Linked DNA regions of Notamacropus eugenii. The protein of the gene in region 1 interacts with the protein of each later gene in a biochemical or structural test. Links are inferred from orthologs where the notes say so. Each region holds a gene or a part of one and is shown in the gene's direction. Other genes may lie near its edges.

Region 1 (10,651 bases):
TTCAGCTTCATTTTTGTTGAGTGGTAGAATGGAGATAAATTTGAAATTTTTGAGTCACTGTTATTTTTAAAACCCGAGAAGAAGGGTCTCTCCTATTTTCTCCCTGCTCACTTTAAAAGCTCCAGTCATATTAACAGTGGCATTTCCATTTATCCCAAAGAATATACTAGGTAAACTTTTCTGATCCAAATACCTGAGTTAAGGCAGTGAAAACCAGAGTGTCTCCCTGGCATAGCTCTTAGCCACAGAGTCTGGCACATACAGTGGCTGACAGAAGGGCACAGCTCTTGGCATACTCAACAAATGATCTTTCCCAGCCAAAGTTCCAAGAGCTTAATTGGGAGCTGGGGCATCTTTCAAGAGTTTTGTAAGTGATAGAATTGAGTGAAGAACACGGGAAGACCTAGGTTAACGATCTCTTTGACCTTCAAGACTTACTAGCTATCTAATCAGATACTGAAAGGTCATCTCCCTTCTCCAATTCTAGCCTCCTTCTCTGCAAAATGGGGTAAAAAGTCTTTCTGGACCTTCACTCCTAAGAGTCTTAGGAGACTCAAATGAGGTCAGACTAAGAGTCGGAGGAGATCCCAGAGGCCATGAATCCATTCGGGACCTAAACCAAGAGCCCCTGGACAACTTCCTTAAATGCACTCATCCAGACTTTGCTTAAGACTTCTCCCAGGGAGAAGAAACCCACCCTCTGTCGAAGGGGCCCATTCTACTTTTGGACAGTTCCAATTGTTAGGAAGTGTTTCCTTATACTGAACCTAAATCTGGCATTATTTAGAACTGGGAGGCACCTTAGAGCTCATCCCGGTCCAATGCCCTCATTTTCAGATGGGCAATCTGAGATTATACTTATCAAAGTCATTATGAAGGTAGTAATTATCAAAACGATTTAGTTCTGACCAAGAAATAGAAAGGTAGATCAGTGGACCAGAGTAGACGTACAATCACAGCAGCAAATGAATATGTATGTGATAAGCATAAAGGCTTGAGTTTTGGGGACAAGAATTCATTATTTGATAAAAATTGTTGGGAAAAGCAGTCTGGTAGAAATTGGGCATAGACCAATATCTTGCCCCATTTACCAAGATAAGATCAAAATGGATGCATGACCCAGATATAAAGAGAGATATTACAAGAAAATTTGAAAAACATGGAACATTTTACTTATCAGACTTATGGATAAGCGAACAATTTATGAAGAGAATGAGGTGTGAAATGGATAATTTCAATTAACTTAAATTTAAAAGGTTTTCTACAAATAAAACCAAATGTAGCCAAGAACTGAGGAAAGCAGAAAGTTGAAGGGAAAAAATTATAGACAGCTTTTCAGATAAAGGTCTCATGTCTCAAACATGTAAAGAACTTTGTCAAATCTATGAGTATGAATCATTCCTCAGCTGATAAATGGACAGAGGATATGAACAGGCAGTTCTCCGATAAAGAAAGCAACACAATTTATAGTTGCAGTTTTAAAAAGTTTTAAATTATTATTGATTAGAGAAATAGAAATTCAAACATTAACTAAACTCATTAGAGCTCGCAGGAACCTCAGCAGCCATCTAGAACAATCCTTTCATTTTGTTTTTAACAGACAAGAAAATTGAGGCAGATGTGTAGTGACTTGTTCAAGGTCATATAGCTAATAAGTATCTGGAGCAGGATTTGAACCAGCGCTTTCCTTTCTCCAAGTAGAGAACCCCATCCAGCGCTTAGCACAGCACCTTGAACACAGTAACACTTATTAAGTGTTTTTTGACAATGATGCCACAATCACTATGCCTCTTGAATTCACTAGCTAGGGTGTCTCATCATCTATGGCCCTTATAAATTACTGCATCTGGGAAACTGGAGTTGGATTCTTTCTTTTTACAGATGAGGAAACAGGTCCAGGTAGGAAAATATTCAATGTCACAACACTAGATAGTAACAGAATGACAGACACCAAGAGAAACATATGTGTCATGGAAATGGCTGCAGGCTGGAGTCAGGACAACTGAGCTCAGGTTTGGGTTCTGGTCTTATTATTAGTTGGTTGACAGGGTGGCTAATTCCTTTCCTGTCTACCTCATAAAGGCTCTGTGAGGATGAAATGAAATATTACATTTAGAGATGGAGAGGACTGTAGAAACCAGTCAGGCACTCCTCATTTTACAACTGAGGTCCAGTTTCTTAGACCTTGTCTAAGGTCACATAGGCGATGTGCCAGAGACAATTCTGGAATGCAGGTCCCCACCTCCCAGCCCACCAAGCTATACGTGTTCAATTCTGAGTATCATGGATTCTGAGAAGATGGGAAGGCTCCAGAGGTCATCCACCAGGATGGGGAAGGGCCTCAGACTCATGCTGTAAGGGGATTAGTTGAAGGAACTGGGGATGCTCACCCTGGAGAAGATTCAAGGGAGATATGAGGGCCAGAGTTCAAATCTGGCCTCAGACACTTAATAGCTGTGTGACCCTGGGAAAGTCACTTCACCCTGTTTGCCTCAGTTTCCTCATCTGTAAAATGAGCTGGAGAAGGAAATGACAAACCACTCTAGTATCTTTACCAAGAAAACCCCAGCTGGGGTCATAAGTCAGAAACAACTAAGCAACAACACAAATCAGGATTTGATTGTTTTTGTTGATTGTCTAGACTTAATAAAAAGATGGATAAAATGTTAATAATGCAAATTAAACTTAAAAGTGTATCTCAGGTTTGTTAGGCTTTTTTTCTTCTTCTGGAGAGCCAGTTGTTAAACATTTTAACAGCACATCTCTGCTTCCCCCTCACTGGGAGTCTTCAAGCAAAGACAGAGAACCACCTCATGTTCCAATGTCATAGAAGAGATTCTTCTTCAGGCACAGCTTGGTCTAATGGCCTGGGAAGCCTCTTGCAGCTCCCAGAGTCTGTGGTCCTGGGAAGTGAGAGGCTCTGTTTGTTCTAAAGAATTTGGATAATTGCTGAAGATACAGCTACCCTGCCCACTGGTGGGTCCCATGACTGTGTAGAAATAGATGGATCCTTCCCCAAGGGGCCCAGAATGTTACTACCCACTTGAAGACCAGGAAATGCAGACCCTAGAGGTAAAGGGAAAGAAGAAGTGCTGACCTCATCATTTAGCCTGGGGACTTCTCTTTGCTTTCCGCCTGGTTCTAAGCCCATTTTGGAGCTTTGTTGTTGCTTTGTTAAGTATTCTATACAATGAAATTGTTTCTGGTCAAGAGCAGAATATGGGAGACATCTGAAACAGTGGAAAGAATTGTGACTCTGAAATCAAAGGACCTGAGTTTGAATCTCACTTCTGTTACTATCAATGTAAGCTTGATAAGTCATGTGATTCCTCTCCTTGTATTTCCTGTAAAATTGAGGGGAAGGGAGTCATACTCCATCAACTGATCAACAAGCATTAATAAATCACTTCTATGTACCAGGTACTGTGCCCAGTGTTGAGGGCACAGCAAAAGCATTTCCTGCCCTCAAAGAGCTTACATCTCCAACAACATACAAACTGCAAATGCTAGACATCACAGTACAAAAAAAATCTCTGTCCAAGATCTAGGCAGTGTAAATGACAGGCTTCAGATCTAAGATTCGGTGACTTTGGGTAAGCTACTACTACCTCCCTGGGTCTATGAGGGGGGCCAGCCTTGATGGCCTCCAAAGTCTCTTCTGGCTGAAGATCTAGGAGCCTGGAAACAGTCAGAGAATGTGACAGTGGCTAAACAGCTTTGTCAAGGACTCATTTCAATCAGTTCAGGTGACTACCCTGTTCCAGAAAGCACGTTCCCTCATTTTGGAATGCCCCTAAATACTCAACTAAATAAACCACCCCAATTTATCTTGTTACTGAAGAAAGTCTTCTTGTGTCTGATGGTAATTTTCAAAAGCAAACCCCTCATTTAGGATATTCTCTCCACTCTTCCATCTCCATGGAAAAGAAACACATGTGAGTGAAATTTCTCTGTAAAGCATTTGCTGGACTGGCCATGTTCCTGACCAGTTGGACCCCATTCAACAGCCCTGGCTTGCTTTTATTTTCTTTCTTTCTTTTCTTTCTTTCTTTCTTTCTTTCGCAACATTCATTTTTGTAAGATTTTGAGTTCCACATTTTTTCTCCCTTCTTTCCTTCCCTTCCCCCTCCCCAATATGGCAAGAAATCTGATGTAGGTTATACGTGTACAATTATATTAAACACATTTCCACATTGTGAAAGAAGAACCAGAACATAAGGGAAAAAACATGAGAAAGAAAAAAAAGAGAAAATAATCTGCTTCAATCTGCATTCAGACTCCACAGTCCTTTCTCTGACTGTGGACAGCATTTTCCATCATGAGCCTTTGGAATTGTCTTGGATCATTATACTGCTGAGAAGATCTAAGTCTATTACAGTTGACCAGAGCACAATGTTGTAACAACCCAATTTTTGACAAACCCATCAAGGCCTTTTCTATCTATTTGGTATCACCAGAGTTTGTACCACTCCACCTCCTTGACAGCAGGTACTATATTTTTGTCTTTCTTTGCTGTTGCCACTGAAATTTCCAGTGTTTGTTGCAGTCTCTGAAACGTAGCAGGCTTAACATGTATTAAGATAAACGTCTTTTTTGAAAATTATGAAAATAATCAATGAACACTAACAATAGTGTAGTCTATGAAAATGAACTTCAGTTACATGTAATTTGTTGGGGTGTTTTGGTTTTTTTAAGTATGTTATCAAATGTAGCTAGGTGGTGCAGTGGATAGAACACTGGGTCTGGAGTCTGGAACATCCGCGTCCAAATCCAGCTTCAGACACTTACCGACCATGCGATCCTCCCCAAGTTACTTAACTCCTCTTTGCCTCCGTTTCGCATCTGTAAAATGCAGATACATTGGAGAAGGAAATGGCAAACCGCTCCAGAATCTTTGACAAGACGCAGGTAACCATCAAACGTAACAAAGTAGCAACAAAATTGCCAGTTTTGTTTCTCCTTTCTCACTTTCCTCTACACTTCGTTAGTGTTTTATCAGTGCTCTATCACCACCCAATAACTCACCTGCCACCAAAAAGAAGCTCCCTCCCCCTTATAACAAGTAAGGAAAACAAATCAACCCCTTGTCCCCAGTTGGCCGTACACAGGCGGTGTCCATCCCATGTCCATCACCGCCAGCCCTCTAAGTCCGAATCAATGCCATCCCAGTTCTGAAGTCTTTCAAAGGCTTTTCCCCCTCTTTTCACTATCATTGTGTAAGTTGTTCACCTGGTTCTGTTCGTTTCTCCGGGTCTCAGTTCACAAGAGTCTTCTCGAACTCCTCCTCTGCCACAGTCCTTATTTCTTTTAACAGTAACCTCCATCACATCACTATGCCACCAGTTGTTCAGTCGTCCCCTATCTTTTTTCTACAGTTGTTGCAATAGTTTTGTAGATTTCAGTCCCTTCCTTCTGGTCTTTGGTCCCCTTGGTCTAGGTCTGGTCTTGGTTCTGAACTGATGGGTCAATGGGTCCGTACAACGGTTCAGTGACTTGGGGGGAGGGGGAAAACAGGATTCCAAACTGCTAGCCTGACCCCAGCTCCACCAACAATGTATTAGCGAGCCTCCCCAACAATCGCCATTTTGTCTTGCCACCTTTGCCAGTCTGACTGCCTCAAGATGGAAGCTCGGGGTGGTTTTCGTGGGCATCTCTTTACTATTAGCGATCAGGGGCATCATCTTCCCCTGGGGGTGGGCCAGCTCCTTCTGACCACGCCCGGAGCAGCTGCGCTCTCCACGTGGCCCCTCCTCCCAGGCTGGGGGCAGCCCCCTCCCAGAGGACGACCCAGAACAGAGCCAAAGCCCCCATCCCTGCTTTAAGGAATTGAAGGCACTAGAGGGAGCCCCGGTGCTGGGGTTTTGTCCGTCCAATTTTAAATAAAGTTGTTGACAGTCTGCCGTTGCCAGGACCGAAAGCGGCGAGGCGCATCTCGGGAATGGTAGTCTCCTCGCCCAGCCCACGAGCCAGTCCGATTCGGGTCGATGATCTCGCGGGAATGGGAAGGGAGGAAAGCCGGTTTGTGGCGCGCACGGCTCTATGGGTAGTGTAGTCAGAAAGCGGTGCGGCTCCTAGGGCGAGCCGAAGGGACGGAACTACACTTCCCGGCTCCCCCGACAAGTTGGAGGAAAAAACGCCCGGCGGAGAGAGCCTGAGCAAATCAGATCGCAGGAAAGAAACTGCCGGCTTTCAAAAATTCTCCCTCGCCGCCATCATCGATCGGCGGCCCCGAGGCGCAGGGGCTGTTTGCGGAGACCGGGGCGAGACGCGTGTGAGTGTGCGTTTGTGCGGGGGAGGCTTGGTGCGCGCGCCCGAGGAGCGGGAGGGAGGGAGCGAGCGAGGAGGGTGGGCGGCCGTCGGTCACCGGCCTATCGTGACGCCGCGTTACGCCACCGCCTCCGCCGCCGTCGCCCGCACGCCCCTCGGCTCCCGCGTTTGATCCCCTCCCCCTTCCCCCCAGCGCGCGGACCCCCCCTTCTCCTCTCCCCCTCCCTCTTCCCGGAGAAGCCTTGCGCGTGCGCAGGAGGGCGTCCAGCGCGAGGTCCGAGGCCGCCGCTGCACGAGGCGCCCGTAGCTCTCCCGCCCGCGCGCACGTAAGTCCGGCGACTCCCGCGGGGCCCCTGCGGGCAGAAAGCGGAGGGAGGAGGGCTGCAGATGGGGAAACTGAGGCCCGGAGGGGGAGCGGCGTAGCGATTCGGAGCATCACGTGGCTCAGCTCCGCTTTTTACAGCGGGGGAAGCTGAGGCCCAGCGCGCAGTCGGGGGGCCGGCCGTTCGGGGGCCGGAGCCTCGGAGGGGGTGGGGAGAGCTCTAGGCTCAAGGAAGAGACCGAGACCAGGGAGGACCCCGCCCCGCTGACCCTCGTCCCAGGTGGTCACATGGTGTAGAGATCAGTGGAGGAGGGGGGACCCAGACCACAGCCCCCACCTTGTACCGGAGAACCCCGGGGCCCGCTTAGGAGGCCTGGCCGAGGTCCTGATATGGGAGGAGACCCCGAGGGGCCCGTCCGAGCCGGACCTGGCCTCCCCGCAGGGCCCCGCACCGCCCCGGCCCACCCACACGCAAGCCCCTGTGGACAGGCCCCCCAGCACCTCGGACAGTGCCTGGGGCCGGCTCTGCTCAGGCCTCCAAGGAGCTGCCTTCCGAGGGTTCCTGCCGCCCACAGCAGGGGAGAAAGGGGCGCCCTGCGGGGGACGTCTCCTCACCTTGCCCTGAGCCCTGGTACTCTGGGAAGGAAGGCGCCTGTGGATGGTTCTCTGAGGGTGAGCCCTCAAGGTGTGCCACAGGGCTTTAGGTAGAAACCCATCCCTTAGGACTGGGCAGAACTTGGAGCTGGAAGGGGGGCCACAGTAAATGTCCCACAACCAGAAATCAGGCCCTGACAGGAACCTGCTGGTCACTGTTCCATAGCTGGGTCTTGGGATTTGAACCCACATCCAATTTTCTCTCTAAAATCTAGCTTTCTTTCCCCACAGACATGTGAATGTTACTGATTACTTCTGTAATCTGAAGCTTTCTGCTTCAGAATCCAATGTTGCCCTAATTTCCACCCAGGTACTCAAACCTCTCCTGCGCCACCTGACCTTCCCTCACCTCAGGATAGAGGTGTCATTTAAAACCCCCATCGGGTTTCTATTTTGTGTCCCCTAGAGAGGGTGGTACCCCAAGACAACAGTTATCTTTCACCAGTCTGTGCCCCCCCCCCATCAAGGCTTTCTACAGGCTTATGCCCTCAACTTGGGGGTTCTTTCTGGGCTGCCCTGCCCTTGGAGGGGGTGGGGTGGTCTTTGTCCCGCAGTAGTAGGCCAGCCTATTGTGATGTAGAGTCTGCTGTCTCCTAGGAGCCCCTGCTTCCTGCCTTTAGCTCTTGATGAGGATAACTGGTTCTGAGTTTGAACCTTCAGTCTTTAGGTGACAATCCCTTTCTTCCCACCTACCCCTTCCCACCACCCTAGACAAGCCAGTGCAGGCACTGGGTTTCTCCCTGGATGGATCGCTTTAATCACTCTGCCCATTTGGGGGAGGGCAGTAGGAGATTGACCCAGGACAGCCAGTCACTAGTCCTGTTTACATTATGTTCTCCTGGATCTGCAGCCCTGCTGACAACTCCAAATTAAGGAAATCCCATGGTTCTGTCCGTTTTGTCCCAGCTGGTAGAGTCAGGGGGCAGCAGGAACTGAGGGCCTGGGAGCAAAGGGCAGAGCTTGTCTGCCTTGCCCTTTCATTGGGTCAGGCCAGACAGAACTCCCCTTTGCCCAGGGTTTCAACCTGTGTAAAAACCTGCTGTTTGAGGCACATCTCAGTAGGAGCTGGATGCTCACATCTGGAAGAGGGGCTGCTGAAGCCTTCCCCAGCAGACAGACCACTGGCCTGCACATGGGGGCCAGATCTGGATCCCTCCTCCTTTCTTCATTTCATTACTACCCTGGGGCCTCCATTACATTGCCCACGAAACAAGGGATTTGGACCCAATGGCCCTCAAGGTCCCTTGGAGCCCTGGGACCATTCGAGAGACTTTTCCCTCTAAATGCTCCCTCTGCACCCAGTCACTTGCGACCGCCCCTTTTCAACCTTACATGGCATAAGTCTGTAATGTGTCATGAGAACATATATTCCAGCCACCAAGTTGGTGTCTCACCCCTCTTGCCAGACACATATTTTGCTGGCAGGGACCAGCTCTTGCCTGTACTTTGGGTTTTCCCTCAGGACTGTACTCAATGTAGTAGGTGCTTAATAAATGTTTCTTGCTTCAGGGAGAGGCTGTGTCTTTCATGTTTAACATCCTCCAGCCCCTGCCCTGGGGACAATATGGCCAAAGCCCTGGCTTTGGGATCTTCCAGCCTGGGCTTCAAACCTGACTTTGCTGTTTCTCAGCTGGGACCTGAGGCAAGCAAACACCCTTATTCTTCCTGTTGATCCCTGGCTTTAGTGAGGCCCTGGAGATCTCACCAAGGCATTATGGGGATTGTGAAATAGCAAACAAGTGGAATGGCTTTGATGATGAGGGATGGTGCCTTTCTCAGCAGCCTGGGGAGGAAGCTTAACAAAGCAGCTGAGACCATGGCATCTGAGGATATTGCCAAGCTCGCCGAAAGCCTGGCCAGAACCCAGGTGGGCGGAGGACAGCTCAGCTTCAAAGGCAAAAGCCTCAAACTCAATACGGCAGAAGATGGTGAGACCCTACCCCTCCCCAACCTTCAACATTGTACCCCCTCAGCCTTCATGGGGTTCCAGGAGGAGCTGGGAGCTAGATATAGCCTAGAATTGGCTTCTTTGGACTCCCTTCTTCCTTCCCCCCACCTTCACTGTAGGGATGACTGCCAGCCTTGCAGGCCCATGCTGTCCCTGGAGATCTCACCCCAGAGAAAACAGGTACTCCTTGGAATGGGCACTGCCACAGCTTCTTAAGCCCTGGGAAGAACCTAGGGATCAGCTGATGGGCTGAATGAGGGAGTTCCTCACTTACTTATACCAGGGGAACTGGTTTGGGCTTGCCCACAAATCCTGCCTGAGTGACTTGGCAAGGTGATTTTGAGAAAGGTATGGCAGAGTGTTTGATTGGGAATAGCAGTGGCCAGGATCTTTACCGTACCCTTTTCCTTGACTCTGTCTGGCATGCACAGCCTGGAGGATCACCATTTCTAGCAGGGCTGACTTCTGATAGACCCAGGAAAGCAAAGGAGATGAAGCCAAGGGCCTGCCAGGGTGGCTTCTTCCTGGCCACAGGCTGGTCATATGGATGCCAGGGCCACTCCAACCTTTATTTATTCAGCAGAACTTGGGCCTAGTTCCAGACTCTGATACTAACTAATGACATCTCTTCCTTTGTGGCTACTAAGCCAGGCACTTAATCTCAATACCCTAAATTGCCACCTCAGCTTCTTTATCATTTTTTTTTAAATAAGGGGTAATTGGAAAATTTTTTTTTGCATAATATTATGTGTACAGTGAGTATCATATTCATGCCTTCTTAATGGGCAGAGGAAAGGCTGGAAGGAGGGAGAGAATTTTGAACTCAAAATAAAATTTAAAAGGGAGTGAGGGGTGGGTGCGAGCCAGCTCCTTAGGTCAGAGATTTAGAACCAGACGGGACCGTCAGGGTGATCTAATTGAAGCCCAGCCCAGACTGCTTGAAGGGTCTGGCCTTGGCTATGGCTAGCAGACTGCAGGCCTGTTTGTGGCTTTGGGCAAGTCATGTAACCTGGGCTGTTACATGGACAGTTTGGTTGAAATGCTGAGTGCAGTCCTCAGAGCACTAAATCTTGGGTCCCCCAGAGGCCTAGAAGCTTCTTTGAGGTTGTCTTCAGCCCAATAAAACTTGGCTTGTTCTCAGCATCCTTTGGCCCAGCAGGGGAGGGATGTCTTGGCTCTCATGACTTTAGGGGAGGCCACCACCTGAAAAGACACATCATTCTTGGGGTTCTTGTCATGTCCCCCCCTGTCACAAGCTCATCTTGGGCACCTGTTTACCTCAGTCCTGGCTTCATGTACTAAGGTCCGCCTCCAGGTGCAGGTAGTATCTGGGCACACTGTGAGAGGTTCCAGATGGTGCTTCTTCCTTAAAGGAAAGAGAGTTGAGCCCTCATACCACAATAGGTGTCAGGGCTGTCTGGATTCTGGGCATGGAATGACTTCCCCAGTCTGTAAAATGG
Region 2 (10,551 bases), on another chromosome or scaffold:
TCTCTGCCAAGAAAACCCTAAGTGGAGTTGTAAAGAATTAGACACAACTGAACAACAATTCTTTGCACGGTGCCTGGCACATAGTAGGCTTACTAAATGTTAGTTAAATTGGTCTGAAACTTACAGTTATCCATCTCTGATATTAATTCATCTAACATCAGAGACAGAAGAAACTTAAGCACCCCACATTTGAGGCTACCTTGAATTTCATAGCATTTTTTCTCCTCATGCAAAGCTTATAAACAGAGTGCAATCTTTTGTTTGTTTGTGGCTTGTATATGCACCCTTAGGTCTCAATCAGCAGACACTTGCAAGACTTTTCATCACAATGTAATAAACATTGGAAATAGCAAATAGAGAATACCTGTATATGCTCTGAAGCAAGTATGGGGGTAAAGACCTTATTGCTGTACTCCCACCCTCCCACTCCCATGAACTTCTGAAAACAGACTCAACAAACTTCCAAGTGAGTTGATAGCAGGCAAAGTATATTTGGAATGTTTTAAGGCCTGTCCCTTCATTGGCTATTTCTTCTGTTACCTAGGAAGACATAAAACAGAAACAAGGAAACTTTGTAGGGGAAAACACTAGCACCTGGGGGGACCAGAAGCCCTTGAAATGAATATCTAAGGAATCCTTGGATTCTAAGATGAAGGGATAAGGAGAGAAAGTTTTCCAAGCATGGGGGACAGACAGTACAAAGACATGGTTACAGAAGACTAGTGTCCTGTGTGAGGGGATAGTGAGAGTTGAGATGACTGGAGTTTGCATATCAACAGAGAGGACGGTATTGCCTCAGACAGAAAAAGGGAAGTTTGGAAGGGAATGGGTTTGATATAATGAGTTCTGTTTTGGACATGATAAGTTTGAGATGTCTATGGGGCTTCTAGTCAAAATGTCCAACGGGCGGTAGTTGAGGCAAAATGGTAGTTTAGGAGAAAGTCTAACATAATGATAATAATGACTAGCATATATATTGTATATATGGCTTTAAGGTTTATAAAGCACTTAAAATATCATCTTATCTGCACAACATCATTGGGAGGGAGATGTTATTATTATCCTCATTTTACAGATGATAGAACCAAGACAGAGGTTAGAGATTAAATGACTTGCCCAGGGTTACGTAACTAGAAACTGTTCAAGGCAAGATTTGAATTCAGCTCTTCCTAACTCTAGATCCTGTGCTTTATCCACTATACCTCCCGGTTATTTTAAGATTAGGACTAAATGTAGAAATCTGAGTCATCTTCAAAGATATAATTAAACTTGTTGTTGCTAATGAGGTCACTAAGGGAGAGTTTGCAGAGAAAGAAAAGATAGAATTGGAGGTCTGTGCACCCAACCATTAGGGGTATGATATGGATGATAATCCAGTAAATGGATTAGAGAAGGAACAGTCAGATGGAGAACCATGAGAAAACACTTGGAAAGGAGAGAGCATTCAAGGGTAGAGGGTAGACAACAGTACCAAAAGCTACAAAATCAAAAAGGATGAGAACTGAGAAAAGGCAACCAAATGTGTCAATGAGAAAAGAAAGCAATTTTAATTGAATGTTGTCAAATGCCAGGATGCAAAGGATTCAGAAGTGAATGAAAGGAAATTAAGACAATGGACAGAATTTTTTCTGGGAGTTTGGCCCAAAAAGGGAGAAGATAGGACTATTGCTTGAGAAGATGGTAGGTTCTAACTCTAGGGAGATTGGACATGTTTGTAGGTAGGAAGGATGAAATAAGAATAGCTAGGTGGCTCAATGGATAGAGTGCCAGGCCTGGAGTTGTGAAAGACTCCTCTTCCTGAATCCAAATCCAGCCATTGAAACAAATTGTTCTGATCTGCCATTTCTGCCAGGGCAAGTCTTCACGTGCTTGGGGTAGACATCTCCGTAACTCACTGATGAGTTTGAGACCTGTCTATTACCTCAACCTGGGTTAGCCCATCTGCCAAGATAGTACAGGCTGTGGCTACTCTGCATCCGACAGCTTCTTGGAGACACAGGTGGCCACCTCACGTCTCAGGTGTTAGTCATCCCTGAACAACCTAGATACTTCTACATTTCTGTACTTGAAGGGAAGGGTGTGACCTCTAACTTTAACAAATAAGTAGCAACAGTATCCATTTTATTTCATCTGAGTTTTGTTTCCATTTCCCTGGCCTATTTTATGTAGTTGTAATTGCTGAGTATATTGTTATTTTGTGTCTGCTTTCCTCACTCTATCACCAGGCACAAGTTTGTCCACATTTCTTCGAATTCTTCCTATTTATATTTTACTCTTGCTCTTGTTGGGTCATCCTGGGGTGACCCAGGAACCCGAAGTCAGGAAGATCTGAGTTCAAATTTGGCCTCAGATATAACTTAATGGCTGAGTGACCACAAACAAGTCACTTAACCCGTTTGCCTCAATTTTCTCAAGTACAGTGGAGACAATAAAAGCCCCTACCTGTCAGGGTGGTTATGAGGATCTAAGGAGATAATCTGTAGAACATTTAACACAGTGCCTAGCACATAGTAGGCACTATATAAATGTTAACTACTGTTATTATTATCTGTAGTTAATTGTTAGTTATTAATACATCAATGTATTAACTATATAATAATATGGTTTATATGATGTAATTAATATATGAATATAATTCTATCTTATATGTAATTAATACAGTATACATTTCTATCTATAATTATCTATTTTATATAATTACATCTCACACAACATTCACAATATCATAATTGTGCATGTAATATATTAAGATACATATTACAGTGCACAAATAATTTATTATATCTATTTCATATGGTATTTAATTAAAATATTTATACATAATAGCTAATAACTAGCTATTATTTTCAAGTGTCCATTCATTGGCTTGTGGGCAGTGGATGGGAAGGGCTCCAGCCCCCCACAGCAGCCACTCTTGCTGGTTTTTCAACTTGTTGCCTGGAAACGAAACAGCATCAAATGGGCAAGCGGGACTTTTTTCTTTGGAGAAAAAATGGAACAAGATTCAGGGAACCCTTCCTTTCCTCTGCTCCCTTGCTCAGTTCCTAATGGATATTCCCTCAGACTTAGACGTTTCCTCCTCCCCTTTTCCCTACCCTCAACACCAACCTTCCCTGAGATTATTCAGAGCCCACATCCCACTCACTATCTGCTTCCCAATGGTCATTAATGAGTGACCTTCTGCTTTGGAACTGCTAAGGTCTATCAAACTTTACTGTCTGCTCTGCCCCTTTGTCCTCTTAACTCCTGAGACTTAATTTCCCCTCTTTTCTCCTCTAATTAGATTATGAACTCCTTGAGAGTGAGGGGTTATTTGGCTTATCCACATGTATCCCCAGTGCTTAGCATAGTGCTTGTCATCCAGTCCTTATTTCCATCTTTCTGAGGCATTATGGTGTCTTTTCATTTGTTCAGCTGTTCTCTCACATGTACACAGTTTGCTCTGAGCTTTTCGCTGTTAGAAATAGTGCTGCTATGAAGATTCTTTTGTGTAGATGGGTCATTTTTTATATCAAAGCTTCTTTGGGGTACAAAACCAACAATGAGATCATTAGACAAAAGAGTATGAAAAACTTTGTGATATCTTGATCATTCCAAATTGCCTTTTAAAAGAATTGGCGCATTTCACAGCTTCCCTCATAGTAAATTCGTACCTATTTTCTTCCTTAAAATCCATGAACAGGACAATCCATCTCCTGTCTCTGGGCATTTTCTCTGGCTGTCCACCCTGCCTGGAATGCTGTTCCTCCTTCAGTCTGACTACTGTTCTCCCACTTTCCTTGAAGTCCCCAGCTAAGGTCCCCTCTTCTACAGGAATTCTTCCCCAACTCCTATTAATTCTAGTGCCTTTCCTAATTATTTTCTATTTATCATCTATATAGCTTGTTTATACATATTTGTTTGCTTGTGGTCTCCCCCATTAGATTGTGAGCTCCTTGAGGGCAGGGACTGTCTTTTGCTTCTTTTTGTATCCCTATGACTTAGTATAGTGCTGGGCATATAGTAGGACCTTAATACGAGAGTCTTATTGATATTTCATATCTTGTTACTTTGCTGAACTGTCTAGTTTTTAATTCTTTACTATTTTGTGAGTAAATTGCCAATTTTTCCTTTTTTTCAGGTGCTTATTCCCTTAATTAGCCTTATTGCTTTAGCTAGCTAGTACTTCTAGAACTATGTCAAATAATAATAATAATCTTTTTTTTCACTTCTGATTTTATTGGGAAATTTTGCAGGGTTTCTACATTACAATGTTACTAGTCATCTCTAGTTTATTTTTACATTTTAACATTATATTGATATCTTTGTTTGTATAAAACTGTCATTTTCCAGTATTCTCTAACATCTCCCCGTCGTTACCCACCCCAAAATCCCCAGGAACCCTCTCATAAAATGGAAAAAGCGATTAAATGAAACCAATTTATAGCATCATTCTTTGACACCCTCGATGATCTCTTCTCTCCAGGTTTTCTTTATTTTCTCCTGGTTCTTCTACCTGTTTGACTCTTCTTCTTATTCTCCTTTGCTGGATCTTCATTCGCACAATGCCCACTAACTACTAGGCCTAAGGCTGTATCTTTTCTCTTTTTCCTCTATACGAACTATTCTTAACCTTTTTTTTGAATCATGGAATCCTTTGAGTAGTCTGATGAGGTCTGTGGACCCCTTCTCAGAATCATGTTTTTAAATACATAAAGTACAATATGTAGGAAATCAATTATATTAAAATAGTTGTTTTTTCATTTAAAAATATAAAAAACCCCTCACATTAATACCCCTTGTTTCATGTTTGTGATAAAGACCTCATTTCTAAAATATAAGAGAACTGAGTCAAATTTACAAGAAAACAAGTCATTCCCCAATTGATAAATGGTCAAAGGATATGAACAGGCAGTTTTCAGAGGAAGAAATTAAAGCTATCTATAGTCATATGAAAAAATGCTCTAAATCACTATTGATTAGAGAGATGTAAATCAAAACAATTCTGAGGTACCACACCATACCTATCTGATTGGCTAACAAGAGAAAACAAGAAGATGATAAATGTTGGAGAAGATGTGGGAGAGTTGGAACACTAATTCATTGCTGGTGGAGCTGTGAGCTGATCCAGTCATTCTGGAGAGCAGTTTGGAACTATGTCCAAAGGGTTATAAAAATGTGCATACCCTTTGACCCAGCAATATTGCTTCTAAAGCTGTATCCCAAAGAGATCATAAAAATGATAAAAGGTCCCACATGTACAAAAATATTTATAGCAACTCTTTCTGTGGTGGTCAAGAACTAGAAATTGAGGGAATGCCCTTCAACTGGGGAAGGGCTGAACAAGTTGTGGTATATGAATGTAATGGAATAATATTGTGCTATAAGAAATGACAAACAGTCAGACTTCAGAAAAACCTGGATTTATATGAATTGATGCTGAGTGAAATGAACAGAACCAGGAGAACATGATACACAATAACAGCCACAGTGTGCAAAGACTACTTCTGATACACTTAGCCCTTCATAGCAATGCAAGGACCTAAAACATTCCCAAAGGACTCTTTTTTTTCCTCTTAATATCTTTTATTTTTCAGTTCTCAACATTCACTTCCACAAGAATTTGAATTCAAAATTTTCTCTCCATCTCTCCCCACCCCAGGACAACATGCACCCCATCCACCCCTTCCTCCAGTCTGTCCTCCCTTCTATAACCACCCCCTTCTTCCATCCCCCTCCCCTCTATTTTCCTGTAGGGTAAAATAGATTTCTATACCCCATTGCCTGTATATCTATTTTCCAGTTGCATGCTAAAACAATTTTTAACATTCATTGTTAAAGCTTTGAGTTCCATGTTCTCCCCCTTCCTCCCTCCCAACCCACCCTCATTGAGAAAACAAGCAACTCAATATAGGTCATACATGTGTAACAATGCAAAACACTTCCATAATAGTTATGTTGTGAAAGACTAACCATATTTCCCTCTGTCCTCTCCTGCCCTGCATTTATTCCATTCTCTCCCTTGACCTGTCCTCCCACAACAGTGTTTGCTTCTGATTATCCCTTTCCTCCAAATGCTGTCCTCTCTCCTATCCCCTTCCCTTCTCCCTTCCCGCAGGGTAAAATAGATTTCCATATCCAATTGTGTTATTCCCTCCTTAAGCTAAATTCCACAAGAGGCTCATTTAATTCACCTCCCTCCTCTTCCCCTCCATTGTCTTACGGCTTTTATGTGAGATGATTTGCTACATTCTACCTTTCTCTTACTCCTAATACATTCCACTCAACAGTAAATTTTTATTTTTTGGGTATTCTCCCTTCCTATTAATGAAAAAGGTCCCGTGAGTTAAAAATAACATCTTTTCATGTAGGAGTAAATCCTGTGTTATCCTGATTATATTTCCACAATACTTGAATTGTTTCTTTCTGGCTGCTTGTAATATTTTCTCCTTAACCTGATAACTCTGGAATTTGGCTACAATATTCCTAGGAGCTTTTCTTTTGGGATCTCTTTCAGGAGGTAACAGGTGAATTCTTTCCATTTCTATTTTACCCTCTGATTCTACAATATCAGGGCAGTTTTCCTTGATAATTTCTTGGAATATGATGTCTAGGCTCTTTTTTTTTATCATGGTTTTCAGGTAGACCAACAATTTCTAAACTCTCTTTCCTGGATCTATTTTCCAGGTCAGTTGTTTTTCCAATAAGATATTTCACATTGTCTTCTATTTCTTTCATTCTTTTGGTTTTGTTTTAGAATTTCTTGGTTTGTCATAAAGACATTAGCTTCCATCTGTTCCATTCTAATTTTTAAAGAATTATTTTCTTCAGTGAGCTTTTGGACCTCCTTTTCTAGGAAGCATTCTTCTCCTCCTTGACTTTTTGGACCTCTTTTGTCATTTGGGTTAGTCCATTTTTCTTCAGCATTTTTTGGGATCTCCTTACCAAGCTGTTGACTCACTTTTCATGATTTTCTTGCATTGCTCCCATTTCTCTTTCCAATTTTTCTTCCACCTCTCTTACTTGATTTTCAAAATCCTTTTTGAGCTCTTCCATTGTCTGAGCCCATTGCATATTTTTTTTTGGAAGTTTTGGATGTAGAAGCCTTGACCTTGCTGTCTTCCTCTGATGATATGCTTTGTTCTTCCTCATCCAAAAAGATGGAAGAAAATACCTTTTCACCAATAAAGTAATATAGTAAATAATAATAATAATATAGTAAATAATAATAATAATAAAGTAATATAGTCTTATTTTTTACCCCCTTTTTGGGCGTTTCCCCAGCCAGTTACTTGATTTTTGAGTCCTTTGCCAAGTGGAGAGTATACTACCCTAGGCTTCAGAGGTTTTGTGTAGCTGTTCTCTGAGATATCTCTAGGGACCAGTAAGTTCTCAGTTTCTCCAAGGTGGCACAATTAAGGGACAGGAGTTTACTCCTCTCCTGGCCTGTGCTCTGATCTCTGAGCAACCACCTCGAATTTGTTTAGTCATTTTTTTAACAGGTATTTTTTGGGCTATGGGGGGAGAGCTAGAGCAGGTCCATCCTTCTACTCTGACATCTTGGCTGTGGCCCCCACCTCCCAAAGACTCTTGATGCAAAATACCATTCACATCCAGTGAAGAACTATGGAATTGGAATGCAGAATGAAACAGACTGTTTTCTCATGTGTTATGTTTTGGTTTGATTTTTCTCATAGTTTCTCCCATTCATTTTAATTCTTCTGTGCAACATAACTAATGTGAAAATGTGTTTAATAAGAATGTACGTGTAGAACTCATATAAGATTGCATGCCATCTCAAGGAGGGAGGGGGGAGTAAGGGGCAGAAAATTTAAAACTTATGGAAGTGATTGTTGAAAACTAAAAACAAATAGATTGATTTTTTTTTTTTAAAAAGACCCCTTGTTTCAGAGAACTGCTTAGAGCAGTGGTGTTAAATTCTAAATGGAAAGGCATCATTAATCCATGCAGAAGGATCCTCATGGGTTGAAAATTAACTTAGTTCTTCAAAATACAATATTATCTTTGTTTTATTGCATTTACATTTATTTTCAAAAATAATTCCCAAATGTATTTTAATCTGGTTTGGACCTGTGGGCTGTGTTTGACGTCTCTGGCCTAGAGTACTGAGTTTAAGTGACTTGCTCAAGAGTCACACAGCCAAGATGTATCAGAGGCAGGATATCAACCCAGGCTGGGTCAGACATGACCGAAAAACTACCTGAACAAAATCAAATCTCTTCAGTATCTGTCAAGAAAACCCAAAAATGGGCTTACAAAGATTCTGAAATGGCTGTTTATTCACTAGTCTTTTTCACTATGTCAGCAAAATTACTAGTGTAACGATAACTGCTGGAATATGAGGACCTAAACCAGGTGCTGAAGTAAATCTCCCTCTCTCTCCCATGTCCTGAACTTGTCCAAGCCTTGTTTTCCCACTAGTAAAATTCCTCTGTCCTCTCCAGATCCAAGGTGTCTAATAATAACAAACTCATCTATTCTAATGGTAAAGGGCTTCCTCAGTATGTCCATTTCAATTATGATCTTCTGGAGAGAAAGGGACTTAGGGTTAGCAGAGGAGGGTTATAAACTACATTAATTACTCCAATGGTAAAAAATTTAGATTAGTAGAAAAGTTATTTGTATAGTCAGCAAGACATTGCCTACAGCAAGGTGTCACACGATGTGTCACACATAGAGCACTGGGTTCTTGGGTTCAAATCCAAACTTAGACATTTAATAGCTTTATGACTGAGCAAATCACTTAACTTCTGTCTCCCCCAATTTCCTCAATTGTAAAGTGGAAATGATAATAGTGTCTATGGCCCAGGGTTATTGTGAGCATCAGTACCATCCACATTCAGAGAAAGAACTATGGAATCGGGATGCGGAATGAAAGACTGTTTTCTCATGTGTTATGTTCTGGTTTCATTTTTCTCATGGTTTCTCCCATTCGTTTTAATTCTTCCGTGCAATATGACTGTGAAAATGTCTTTAGCATAGTAAAGTGCTAAGCGCACTGCCTGGTACATTGTAGGCCCTTCGTTTTTTCTTCCCCTTCCCCCCAGTCCTTTAGATGCTGGGCACTGTGCTGACCTCCTTGTAGGGTAAGCCACAACGAATAGGACCCTTGCTCCTATTTAACCCTACAGAGTGCCTCCCCAGCTCACCATCCCTGGGACGGACTCACAGGACTGCTTTTCTACACATAAAACCGGATTCCTTTGGGTGAATTGTCCCTCCAACAAGTCCCTGCCCCAGGAATTTGTGGCTGTGCGATCCTGGAGGGGCCTCAAGGTTCTTCTCTGTAAAGGGGTTTAAGAGCTACACCCATCTCCCAGGGTTATTTTGAGGATGAAATGGGTTATTTACAAAGCTCTATAAAACTCCCTTAAGTGCTATTTTAAAGAAACAGTTAAATTTTTTAAACAATGACTTTTAGTTTTCTACATTCACTTTTATAAGATTTTGAGTTGTGAAGTCTCCCCCCTTCCTCAAGACGGCATGCAGTCTGACAGAGGCTACACCCGTACAATCGTATTAAACATTTCCACATTAGTCATGTTGTGAAAGAAAAATCGGAACAAAGGGGAGAAAACAAACAGCAAAGGGAGGAAAGGGTGTGCTCCGATCTGGCCCGACTGCACAGCTCCTTCTCCGGGTGTGGGCAGCACCGGGCAGCACCGGCCACCACGAGTCTTTGGAGCTGGCCTGGCAGGCCGGAGGAGGGCTTCGGTCCAGTCTAGCGGTCCACACAGCCTTCTCTGGTTCTGCGTGCCCTCCAGTTCGAACCCGGTAGAACCCACGAGACCTGGCCTCTTCATATAAGCCACACCCCGCCTTACCGCTGTTTTTAAAATTAAAAAAAGTTAGAGCTATTTCTCAATGATATATTTTTTAACATTCAATTAGACATTTTGGAGTTCCAAATTCCCCCCTGCCTCCTGCATCCTCCAGAAAGCGGCCATGTAACCCCGATTACACAAAGTGGGGTCATCGTGCACTATTTCTTCTAAGGCACTTTCCCATCCCCCGATCGTGTTGGGCCCGCGGTAAGGGAGCTCCCGCCCCGTCCGAGGCCCGGCTGGGGCTGGGCAGAGTCCAGGGAGGCGGCGGAAGGGGCAGAACGCAAACCCGTCCAGGTCCAAGGACGGCCTCCGAGCTGCGCCCACGCAGAGCCCGCCTCCGCGCGCTGTCCCCTGTCCAGCAGTCAGTCCCTCGGGGCGGGATTCCCTGGCGGAATCGCCTCCGTCAACGCCGCGGCGCGCAGCACTGACGTAACACGCAGATGACGTCAGCCCGCCGTTTAGGCCCCGGCGACGGTGGCGGCGTCACTGAGTTTTAGGCGCAACGAGCCCGGAGACGTAGGGCCGACGCTGCCGGGCTCCCCGAGCCGGACTCCCGGAGAGCCCCCGGACTGCGTGAGAGGCGCGATGAGGCGCAGCAAGGCCGAGGTGGAGCGGTACATCGCCTCGGTGCAGGGCTCCGCCCCCTCCCCTCGAGAGGTAAGCGACGAGCTGGCCCGCGCAGCCAGAGGCAGCTTCTGGAAGCCCGGCGGGCCGGGAGCCGGGA
Region 3 (10,736 bases), on another chromosome or scaffold:
ATCAAGAATATCGTTAGCCAACACAAGAATAATGCAGAGCAAACACATGCAGATAAAATTACAAATTGTCCTAAAGTGAATAGGAGTCAGTATAACTTTATACATTTGATGATAACAAAACTGTAATTTATGTTTTGGCTAAATTAAAAGTAGCTATATTTCCTCTACATAATATATTTAAACAGTACTCTCAAGGGCTCTGGTACTGACTTTTAATTTTGTTTTAGGGTTGGTATGTATACAGAACAGCAAAAAAAATGTGCAATTCAACTTTCATATTATTAGGTATGTTTAAAATTCAAATCAGATTTAAGTGCTGATTCTAATGCATCCTTGTAATCAGTCAAAAGGTATTTATTAAGCACCCATATGTGCCAAGTACTGTGACAGTTATTTGGGACACATATACTATAAATGAAACAATAAATCATTGAAAAACTGAGGTACTTTGTTGATCATTGAATAATTGAGTTAGTGCTCTAAAAACTTGACTGACCCTACCAAAGCAACTTTTGATGGATACCAGAACCAGATGGAAAGTGGGTCACCCTGACCTAGAAAGTGACTCAGGATATATTCAAGGTCTAAGACAACAAAACATTCAGAGTGAAGAGATTGTTTCTAATACAGCAGCCTCTCCTGGTGAACTCTGGTACTATGGCATATCAGAAATATTAAAAGTGCTTGGCCAATCAAGTTTAATCAAATGTGGTATGGATACTATAAATGATTTTGTTAGCTCAAATGATATATTTCTTGAAAAGTACTTGGTTAGAGAGGATCAAAGTCAACTGCAAGTCATGTCATCATCCTGATGTCATGGTCAACACAACAACACACAGTATAGGATGACATGAGTATCTTAAGACAACTCAATTTAGCTGGGGTTAGAAAAGATTAGGGCATGAATTACAGAGATTAGAGTCAAACAACTGGGCTCTAAATTTGGACTAAAGGCAATCTAAGGGAATAGTTTAAAGATGTAATCTCTGAGCACTTCCCTTAGGTATCTACTATTTCTTCCTATCTGCCTCTAAGAATTATTGTCTTCAAGCCTGAGCTTTATAAAGCACAATCCTCACCACCACATAAAACCTCACCAACATAAGACCTTTCCTGAGCTCTCCTACTGCTAGTGCCCTCTTCCTCAAACTAAATTGCATCTTAATAGTTTGTTTTTATTTGCACTTATTTTTATATTTAACATGTATTTACTTTTTAGCTGAAGAAATAAATCTGAGGGAGAAATAGGATAGCATGTGCCAGATGCGTCAAAGCACTGCGGCCACTACATCCCTTCATGCCCTCCATCCCAAAAGCCCCATGAACAGCAGTGACCTCGACCTCCTGCTTCTAGGTGGTACCCAAAGTCACAGTCCAAGGGCAGCAACCCTTGGGGAGATGAAATTTACAAAGGCCCCTGCCAGTGCTATAGACAAGGGTCCTAAGGCAAAAAAGTCACTTGGCACTGGCAAAAGGTCCCATATCAGAAACAGATATAGTGTTATCAATGGGAGTGGCATTAAAGAAGATACATTATCATCTCCTATGTCTATTATCTTCCTCATTAGAAAATAAGCTCCTTCTGCTCTTACCACAGAACTTTGAACCTAGTAAGCACTTAATTCTTTTAAATTCACTTACAGCTTATAGTCTTCCCATTAGAAGCTCCCAGAGTAGAGAGCTTCTTATTTATATCCCTGTGCTTAGCACCATACCTTGTACATAATAGATACTGAACAAATGTTTAATAGACAAGAAAAATGAAGTAGGCAGTAAGTGAAAACAAGACTTCTATTTGTGTTTCAATGGGTTCCTCCTTTAGTTTCTATTTAATAAAAACATCATTTTGTTGTCCTTCCATCTGGGCCCATGCTAAAAAGAATTATCAGATGATATAGAAGAAGCAAGGCTAATGGTGGTGGTGCATTGCAATTCAGGGTGCTCTTGTGCACTGGGTATTGGGCTATCTCTACCAGTTCCAGGTAGACACTTAAATCCAAAGGTGTGCTATTTCCTTCAAAATAGATCTAGTTCATCATCCATGCCATCAATGATTCCACAGAAAAGATCCTAAGAATGTGAATGGAAATGTCAGTTGGCAGACAATAATTTCTACCTTTTCCCTTCTCCAGTAGAGGCTTACCTAACCTAGTCTAAGGTGATAGATGACTTCAAGAAAATATGACGTTGAGAGAAAACACTTGCAGGGTTATCAGTTCCTTGGGAAGGGTGGGAAGAAACCTATGATTTTTTTTTTGTTACAGGGAAATACAGAAAGAAGACTCTTCTTACAGCAAGTTAATGCCTCCTCTTTAATTTATAATCTTAGAAATTACCTTGGGGCACCAAAAAATTAACTTGTGCAGGGTTTTACAGTCAGTATATGTCAGAGGCAGGACATGAACCCAGTTCTTCCTGACTCCCATGACAGAACTCTAACCACTCATTCTAATGTTGTCTCATTTCCTTTTGTTGTTATTCAGTCACTTTTCAGTTGTGTGTGACTCTCCACGACCCCATTTGGGGTTTTCTTGGCAAAAATACTGGAGTGATTTGCCATTTTCTTCTCTAGCTCTTTTCACTGATGAGGAAACTGAGGCAGAATTCAGTGACTTGCCCAGGGTCACACAGCTAGTAAGGATCTGATGTTGGATTTGAATTCAGGTCTTCCTGACTCCAGGATTGGTGCTCTATCCATTGTGTCACTTAACTGCCCTTATTTCCATATAATATTATAAATGAGTGATTGCAAATGAGCCACAATAGACTTATCAATTAACAGATTATTTATTAGGCCTAATACTATGTGCCAGGCCTTGGGCTAAGCACTGGTGATATAAAGGCAAAAACCCCAAAAGCTTCCACGTTGTAGAAGTTTGCATACAATGGAAGTAACAGCATATAAATATAAATAAATATACACACACACACCCCACAAGGTAAAAAGAAAGTTAATCTCAGAGTGGAAGGGTTTTTGTAGAAGGCAACACCTGAACTGAGTCCTGAAGGTTCAAGTCAGGGATATGAAGTAGAGGTATGGAAGTGTGGCTAAAATATATCAATGATATTTTAAAATGTTATTGATTGGAAAGGAATCTATCAACTTAACACTTCCAGCTCCTGATAAAGGAAGAAAAATGAAACCTACTAAAACAGGGTTTGAAGCATTTGTATTTGCTCTTGTTCCCTCCCCCTTCCCTTCCCACATGTATCAAGCTTGTCATATCTTTACATTTCCATGTTTTTATTTGTAAATTAGAGATAATAGAACAAATTTGCTATAGGGTAACTATGATGGAAAAAGCAAAAACTGTAAATTACTCTGCAAATATAAATATTGGATGTGTAGTAAGCGATAAAGTGTTGGTTTTTGAATGATGAAGATCTGAGTTCAAGTCCTAACCACAAGTCCGAACTATGGACAAGTCGCTTAACTTCTCAGTACTCAGTTCTTAATTCCTTTTGGTTCATCTTAATTTATATCAAGGAAAGGAATTTTACCAACAGGAATTGGCTATGCCAATGAAATAGAATCAAAGCAGAACAGCTTTAGAGTTGGAAGAGCCCTCTCACTGAGTCTGTGAGAAGTTAAATGACTTGCCAAGGTCACACAGGTAACAAATAGCAAAGCTGGGATCAGAACCCAGTTTTTTAACTCTAAATCCAACACTTTAAAAGACCACAAAAAAGTTGGATATTTTGCTACAATTCAGTCTGCACAGTTTTTTCTAGTTTTAAAGAACTATAATGTAACTTAATTAGTAAACCAATTAGGAAGGCAAGATTTAGTTCTATTTTTTTCAGGCTGTTAAATCAGCACTCAGTGCACGTTTATTATGACAAATATATTGTGTTCCAGTTTAAGGATAGTAATATCAGTAATGAATAAGGATCCTCTAAATAAATAGAGGTAGATAGTTATTTAAACAGGAAAAAGGACTGATAAAAACCCAGTGTGAAGAGAGATCAGGAAGGCTCCCAGCATTTTGGATAGGCATCTCTTTCCCTTCATAGGAGGACATGGATTTGGAGGAGTGTAAAACAAGATAGGCAGGCATGTACAGATTGCAATCTGTGTCTCTGGAAGGAAAATATATACTATGAAATCCCAGATCCACTGGAATAATGATGATTCAATATGGTCTAACCAATTTTCTTCTACCTGGAGAATTTATACTGATTCTTAACTGAAAATGAGTCAATAAATTAGTGAATGAATCTTCCACTAATGTAGAGAAACAAAAGCAAATCACTTTTACTTTGGGGGCTAGGGAAATAACTCCCTGAAAGTTTCTTGTTCATTAATATTAAGAAAATTTTTAGTAAAAAAAAATAACTTATAAATCTATATCCCAAAGAAATCAAAGGAAGAAAAGGACCTATATATACAAAAATATTTATAGTAGCTCTTTTCAAGGTGGCAAAGAATTAGAAACTGACAGGTTCCTCATCAAGAAGAAATGGTATACGTATGTGATAGAACACTATTATGCTGTAAGACATGATGAAGGGGATGGTTTCAGAGAAATCTGGGAAGACTTACTTGTATGAAGTGATGCACAGTGACCTGTGCAGAACCAGGAGAACAATTTATACAATAACAATGTTGTAAAGAAACAATTTTGAGAGGCTTAGAAAATGAATAACAATGACTAACTTCAGTACAGGATGAAACATACTATGCACCTTCAGATGGAAAGATGGACTCAGAGTGCAAACTAAGGCATATGTATATACGTGCGTGTGTGTGTATATATATATATATATATATATATATATATATATATATATATATATATACATATATATATATATATATATAAATATATACATACCCACACATATGACAATGCTAATATGGAAATTTGTTTTCACTATACATATTCATAATGTTTTGTTTTCCTTGCTTTTAGGTGGGGGGAGAGAATTCAGAACTGAAAATAAAAGTGAATTAAAACATATAACAGAAACATTAAGTCACAGATCTACTGGAATGATAATGCAACCTAACCAATTTTCTCTTACCTAGAGAACTTGTACTGAGTCTTAAATGAAAATGAATTAATGACTATCTACTTCTAAAGTGGGTAAACAAAAACTAAACCCAACTTTTCAGCGCGAGAGCGAGAATTAACTACTTAATGGTTTTTTGTTCATTGATGTTAAGAAAATTTTTAGTAAATATCAGGGATTTTTTTAATAAAAGGAATAGTTTAACGTGAAATTAGTTTAAAAACATTTTATTAATAATTTAACAGAAACCTAAGTCCTCCGTTTTTTTTAACGTAATAGACAAAGTGGGGGGCAACCTTTTCCCTTTAAAATTAGGAATTCTTAACTTGCTTTTAAAATATTTTGATTCAGTCAATGCATATTTCCTAACAGTCTATCATGTAGAAAGGTAATGTGATAAGTCCCTTGTTCTGAAATAACTTGGTCTAATAGAGGAAAAAGCACACCTATATTATGTATAAACTATATGAATAGGATAAATTGGAAATGAAAAAGAGGGAAAGCCCTCCACTTGAGGAGGACGAAGAATCAATACAATTGGTTTCCTTTGTAATCCTACGTATTTTTGTGCCTTTAAGAACATCATTCCGAAAAGGGACCAACAGGCTTCCCCCAGGGGTCCACCACACAAACACAGCTAAGAATTCACGTGAAAATGATCCATCTGACCTTTCAGTTCAAGGAGAGCTAACAAAAGTTGATTTTGGAAAAAACAAAAAACCAACCAAGCCCCGAACGACGATCGGGATGGTTTCTAAACTCAGTTAAAACCACCTCTAGAAGGACGCGAATGGGCAGAACCGCCAACTTGTTCTCCCACGGAAGGCACGAGGCCGGTCCTGCGGGGAGGACCAGTGGATGCGGCCGCCCTCGGGACGGGAAAGGCGGTTTCCAAAAGGCCGGGGGGCCGTCGGGATCCACCCGGGCCCAGTGCCCTTCTGTGGGAGAGCGTCTGGACACGAACAGTACCCGCTAGGTTCTGCCCAATGCAGGGCGGCGAACGCGCCCTCGCAGATCCAGTCCTCCCCAGGCTCGGGGCAGGGACACCAGGGTTCTGGGCTTACCGGGAGCCGCCGCAAAGCCCGCCGGGAAGGAGGGAGGGGACGGGAGGACGGCCAGGAGCGTGGGGGTGGGGAAGGTCAGGGTCTCTGGGACGTCGAGGTCTCCGGCAATGGCACGCCTCAACGTGCGCCCGAATGAGGCCCACTGTGTCAGCAGTACACCCACAACAGGCCCGAGCTCCCTGGAGACCCAGCTCCATCGCGCTCTCGTGGGGAGGTCAAGGGTCGCCAGGAAAAAACCCCAACAAAACTCGAGGCCCTCCAGCGGAGGGCTGGAGTCGGCCTCTTTCTAAGGACTACATAATCCCTCCGCCGCGGGCAGCGCAGCGGCTCTAATCACCCTCCGCGCCGCCCTCCTCCTCGGCCGCTTTAGCGTTATTTCCAGCGGATTCCGACGACGTGACTCTCTCCTAGCTGAGACGCCCACACTGGGCGTCGGACTCTTCCACCACCGGCCCCGCCCCCAGGCGCAGCCCCGCCGGAAGTGCTCTAGTGATAGCTCCGCGCTTCTGCCCCGCCCCCGCTGCGGCTGGGCTGGCTGGGACCGGAACGAGATTTCGTGAGCGTGGCGGGGCTGAGGGGGAAGCATTTGTAGGGACACGAGCAGGAAGAAGCTGTCCTCCTGGAGGAGGAGCGGCCCAGGGGGAAAAACGTGAGTTGAACGTTTCCTCAGGCCGCGCGACGCTCGAGCTGGAGGCTGAGCCGGAGCCGGAGCCGGCGTGGGAATGGTCCCGGGGCGCGCACGGCGGGCACGAGCATCAGGTGAGGGGACTGGAGGGCTCTGTCTGTCCCTGTCCGAATGAGTGGGGAGGGAAACCGGGAAAGGGGGAGGGGGCCCGAGCTTACGGTGTTGCGCGCCACCGGCTGGAGGCTGGGGCGAGGAGGGGCCGAGGGAGGTTCAGGTGGGGCGCTGGGGTAGGTTTCGTATACCAGAGGTAAATCCTGAAGAGAAACCAGAGTTGTGTCCCTTCCTGAGGTGGGTGATGCCACCAACCCCTCCCCCACCTGGGTTCCCCTTGAACCGCACGTCGGCCGGGGGAGGTGGGGCGTGTTCATGGGCTTGGGGGTCTTCCCTGGATTCCCTTCGGTTCTGTGGCGCCTCCATCCAGATCTGGTAGCGGCAGCAGAATGGTCCCCGGTGCCCGTAGAGCTGGTCTGTGGGACTGCGTGTCACCTGCGGGAATGAGGGGCAGTGGACTCGAGCCGGGTTCTGTCAGGCTGCCCTGGGGGTTGGGGGGGACTGAGCTCGAGGCCCGGCTTGGCCCATCCCTGCTTAAGAACATATAAGGTCACCAGTCTTTGGTTTGGTGATTGGGTCAGTTTGCATTAAGTGATGCAGTCATTCATTCAGCCTAGGCTTAGACCCGGATAAAAACCACCCGACGTGATTGGCTGCCCAGGTCTTTAAAAAAATCTTAAGTATTAGCCCTGATTGTTCTGGGATGCGCAGGTTCTCCATTATAGAACGTAATCACCACTGGCTTTTAGTAATTCAGCCTATTGTTAGTTTAACTTAATTATATAAAGGAATCTTCAAGAAAAATAAAGGATCACTTGCTTAGATTTAGCTGATATGTTGACTTTAACATATAAGAAGGCTTTTTTTTCAGGGTAGGCAGAGGACGATTTTCCTTAAGAATAGGTCTCCTTTGTGAATTGTAAGTCAGTTTAGGTACCTTCCAAAAATTTACTTTTTCTCCCTAAGTTTAGGGTATGAATTATCTATATTGAAACAAAGCAAGAAAATATATGGAACTGATTTGGCTTGCTTAATATTGAGATGAGTGGAGGGAGAAGGTGTCATTTAGACTTGCATTTAGGCCAAAGTAATTTCCTTAAGTGTCCACGATGTCGAAGATAGGAGTTGAAATTCACTTTGACGTTGAATTATTTTGACACTTATATTTTGAAATCTTTTCTACTCAGGGGATTTTGAAGATACTACTGGAACAGTGCTATTCAGAGTTTGGGAACTGCTAAGGATACTCCTTAGGGTTCCCTCCTGGCTGCCTGCATAAAATCTGTATTATATGTATTTGTTTGTCATATAATTTACGTAGGTTACTTAGCAACAACAACAAAAAACTAAATATTTCATTCTTGTCCCAGAAAAACAGTGCTATTAAACTGGAGCAAATCTTAACGACAAATAAAGTGGGAACAAGAACTCTATACATTCCTCCCCATCCAAAAATTGAAAACAGTTACAGAATCGTTTTAAAACATATTCCCAGCATAGTTCTAGCATACTCATTTCATTTTGTTACTAGAATTAAACAGTGCCTATCCTCAAACTCCATTTAATATAGCTTGCCTTTTTTGCTAAATGATAAAGCTCTTTTAAAGGTTAAATAGTATTTAAGATGTATACTGTTGGAAATGATCCTGAGAGGAAGGGGAGAAGAACTTGTTCCAGATCCACCAGAAAAAAAAATTTGTTTAACTAATGTGACTAGTGAATGTAAAAGATATGTGTCAATTTTAATACTTTTTTTTTTCAAATTGTGATTTAGGTAATAATTTCACAGACATTTTATCACAAGATATCACTTAATTTTCAACATATACTTAGCATGAACTTTTTCTAAAATCAAATGGATTGGATTTTGACTTAACTGCCTGTTGACTTTTTTTTTTCCAGGGTTCATTGAAAGATCCTTAGTGATATTGACTAAGGACATATTGACAAGTTACATAAATTAGCCAATGACTCGGAATGATGGATTCCCAGAAGATTGGAAATGGTTTGCCAGTGATTGGACAAGACACTGGTATAGGGATATCTTCACTCCACATGGTGGGGTATTTGGGAAAAGTCAGTGAGCTTGTTTTCCACTCTGTGCAAAGTTGTTTTTTTCTTCTGTTTTTGATCCATTAACTAATTTGGTTTTTATTTTTACCAAATAACATTTTTTTATATAAATTATACTTCCCACGGAAATCTTACAGCAATGGCGAAAGATTATTTCCATATATTTACCTTTGTTTCATTGACATAAGAACGTGTTTATTTTAACTTCATAAAACTTATGGTTTACCTTAAAAATCATGGAATCTGTTCATTGTTGATATCACTTTTTCTTTGCAAATAAAAATGATGCAGTTTAATACAAAAACCTTTTAAAACTACAATGATGTTATTTTTTCACCGACAATTTAAATGTTAAATCCTTATATTCATTTCTTTTGTTTGCCATGTTAAAAAATTATTGCTAGTGTAACTGCTAGTATGAGAATGGAAAAGATTTTCTAATGTATTTCTACTTCTTTTTTTGATACTAAGTAGGAATACATACATGTTACATTGTTTTATTTCTTTCTCAGAAGTGTGATTCAGCTAAAGTTACACCAGATGGGTACTGTCCAGCCTGTAGAGAGAACGGAAAGATCAAAACTTTAAAGTCTTATCGAATCAGTTTTCAAGAATCTATCTCTTTGTGTGAAGATCCACAGGTAATGAATTAATTTTTAGAATTTTGCTAAGTAGAACTCATGTATTTGGAAGCAATAGGTAACCTACCTTATTTGAACTTTTCTGTTAACTGACTGTTAACATTATTAAGTCCTACTGTGTCCCATATGTTGTATTACTTACTGGGGATACAAAGGTACAAATGAAGTAACTTTTATAAGTGATTTTGATAGTAAAAGTTTTTGAATGGCCTTCAGGAATATCCATGAAAGTATATCATAGTAATTTATACCTGTGTAGTTCACGAAGTCATGGATAATTGTTTCTAGTTCTCTAGTGTAGGGGGAAAAAAACATGTTTTCTATGAAGTGATAAGTAATGTTTATATGCTTACATTCTAGAAACTGTGCTGATAAACTGGATGAAAAAGAACTCCTAAAATAATGAACCTATAGAAGAGAAAAATAAATCTTTGCATTTTTGCAAACAAATACTTTTCAGTTTTTCATTCTATTTTAATTTTATTCTGAATCATGTTAATTTTTTGTCACATGTATACCATACATTTTAAGACCTGGCAAGTCTTTGCTGAGGAATTATTTGAAATTCATGTTTTATTAAAATTGTGTTAATGCACTATAGAAAAATTGTTCACTGTATCAAGATAGAAAATAAGTAGAATATCTTTGAAGGCAATGGGAAAATAGTTGATGTGGGTATGGATCAGCCATAGCATGTAATCAGAGTTAATTTGTGCTCCAGAAATTGTATAAAAGACATTAGCAAGGATGTGTATAACCAGAAAGGGAGGTGGTCTGGGTATATGTCAAGAATCAGAAACAAATAGACAGCTTAAGTATAGTTAGTACCCCTTAGATAATAAGAGAGCAAGATGAAGACCTCTGGCATAATCCTTAAAGGGAAAAGCACAGATAAGAATCCCTGAGAAGGAGAATGAACTCTTCATCTATGAGAGTACTCACACTGAAGAAATTGCTTTTTCTCTTGGAGTACTCTTGGTCTTCAGATTTGTTTACTTTTTTAGTCCCCTCTCCTGTTCCCCAAGAGTACCACACTATTCTGTGAGGCTTTTTAAAAAGAAAAATTAAAACTGTTGATTGTTTTTTGCATTATCTTTATGTTAGCTATTTAAAGCAGGAAAGGATGTGCTTTTCCTTCTCTGTATTCCTGAATAAGACTATAGTTAAGATAATTAAGCTTTGTAACTGTTTGCTTTGCATTTTTAC

What was found.
Region 2: the proteins of RANGAP1 (region 1) and E3 SUMO-protein ligase RanBP2-like form a complex in vitro, tested with the Homo sapiens proteins (5 studies listed by BioGRID and IntAct, with this or other methods). The link is inferred for Notamacropus eugenii from reciprocal best matches to the Homo sapiens genes RANGAP1 and RANBP2.
Region 3: of the proteins of RANGAP1 (region 1) and USPL1, one has a biochemical effect on the other in vitro, tested with the Homo sapiens proteins (2 studies listed by BioGRID). The link is inferred for Notamacropus eugenii from reciprocal best matches to the Homo sapiens genes RANGAP1 and USPL1.

The regions. Positions count from the first base shown.
Region 1 is NC_092874.1:300,352,325-300,362,975, reverse strand, and holds the start of RANGAP1 (ran GTPase-activating protein 1), read left to right. Parts: upstream 1-6,158; 5' UTR 6,159-6,271; intron 6,272-6,460; exon of another isoform or gene 6,461-6,593; intron 6,594-7,474; exon of another isoform or gene 7,475-7,553; intron 7,554-8,752; exon of another isoform or gene 8,753-8,885; intron 8,886-9,022; exon of another isoform or gene 9,023-9,025; 5' UTR 9,026-9,059; coding exon 9,060-9,171; intron 9,172-10,651. Other genes in the region: uncharacterized protein, read right to left, coding at 4,789-4,795. UniProt on the Homo sapiens protein: GTPase activator for RAN. Converts cytoplasmic GTP-bound RAN to GDP-bound RAN, which is essential for RAN-mediated nuclear import and export. Mediates dissociation of cargo from nuclear export complexes containing XPO1, RAN and RANBP2 after nuclear export.
Region 2 is NC_092877.1:204,446,933-204,457,483, forward strand, and holds the start of E3 SUMO-protein ligase RanBP2-like, read left to right. Parts: upstream 1-6,603; 5' UTR 6,604-10,412; coding exon 10,413-10,484; intron 10,485-10,551. UniProt on the Homo sapiens protein: E3 SUMO-protein ligase which facilitates SUMO1 and SUMO2 conjugation by UBE2I. Involved in transport factor (Ran-GTP, karyopherin)-mediated protein import via the F-G repeat-containing domain which acts as a docking site for substrates.
Region 3 is NC_092876.1:199,236,289-199,247,024, forward strand, and holds the start of USPL1 (SUMO-specific isopeptidase USPL1), read left to right. Parts: upstream 1-6,602; 5' UTR 6,603-6,839; intron 6,840-6,985; exon of another isoform or gene 6,986-8,718; 5' UTR 8,719-8,793; coding exon 8,794-8,892; intron 8,893-9,401; coding exon 9,402-9,530; intron 9,531-10,736. UniProt on the Homo sapiens protein: SUMO-specific isopeptidase involved in protein desumoylation. Specifically binds SUMO proteins with a higher affinity for SUMO2 and SUMO3 which it cleaves more efficiently. Also able to process full-length SUMO proteins to their mature forms.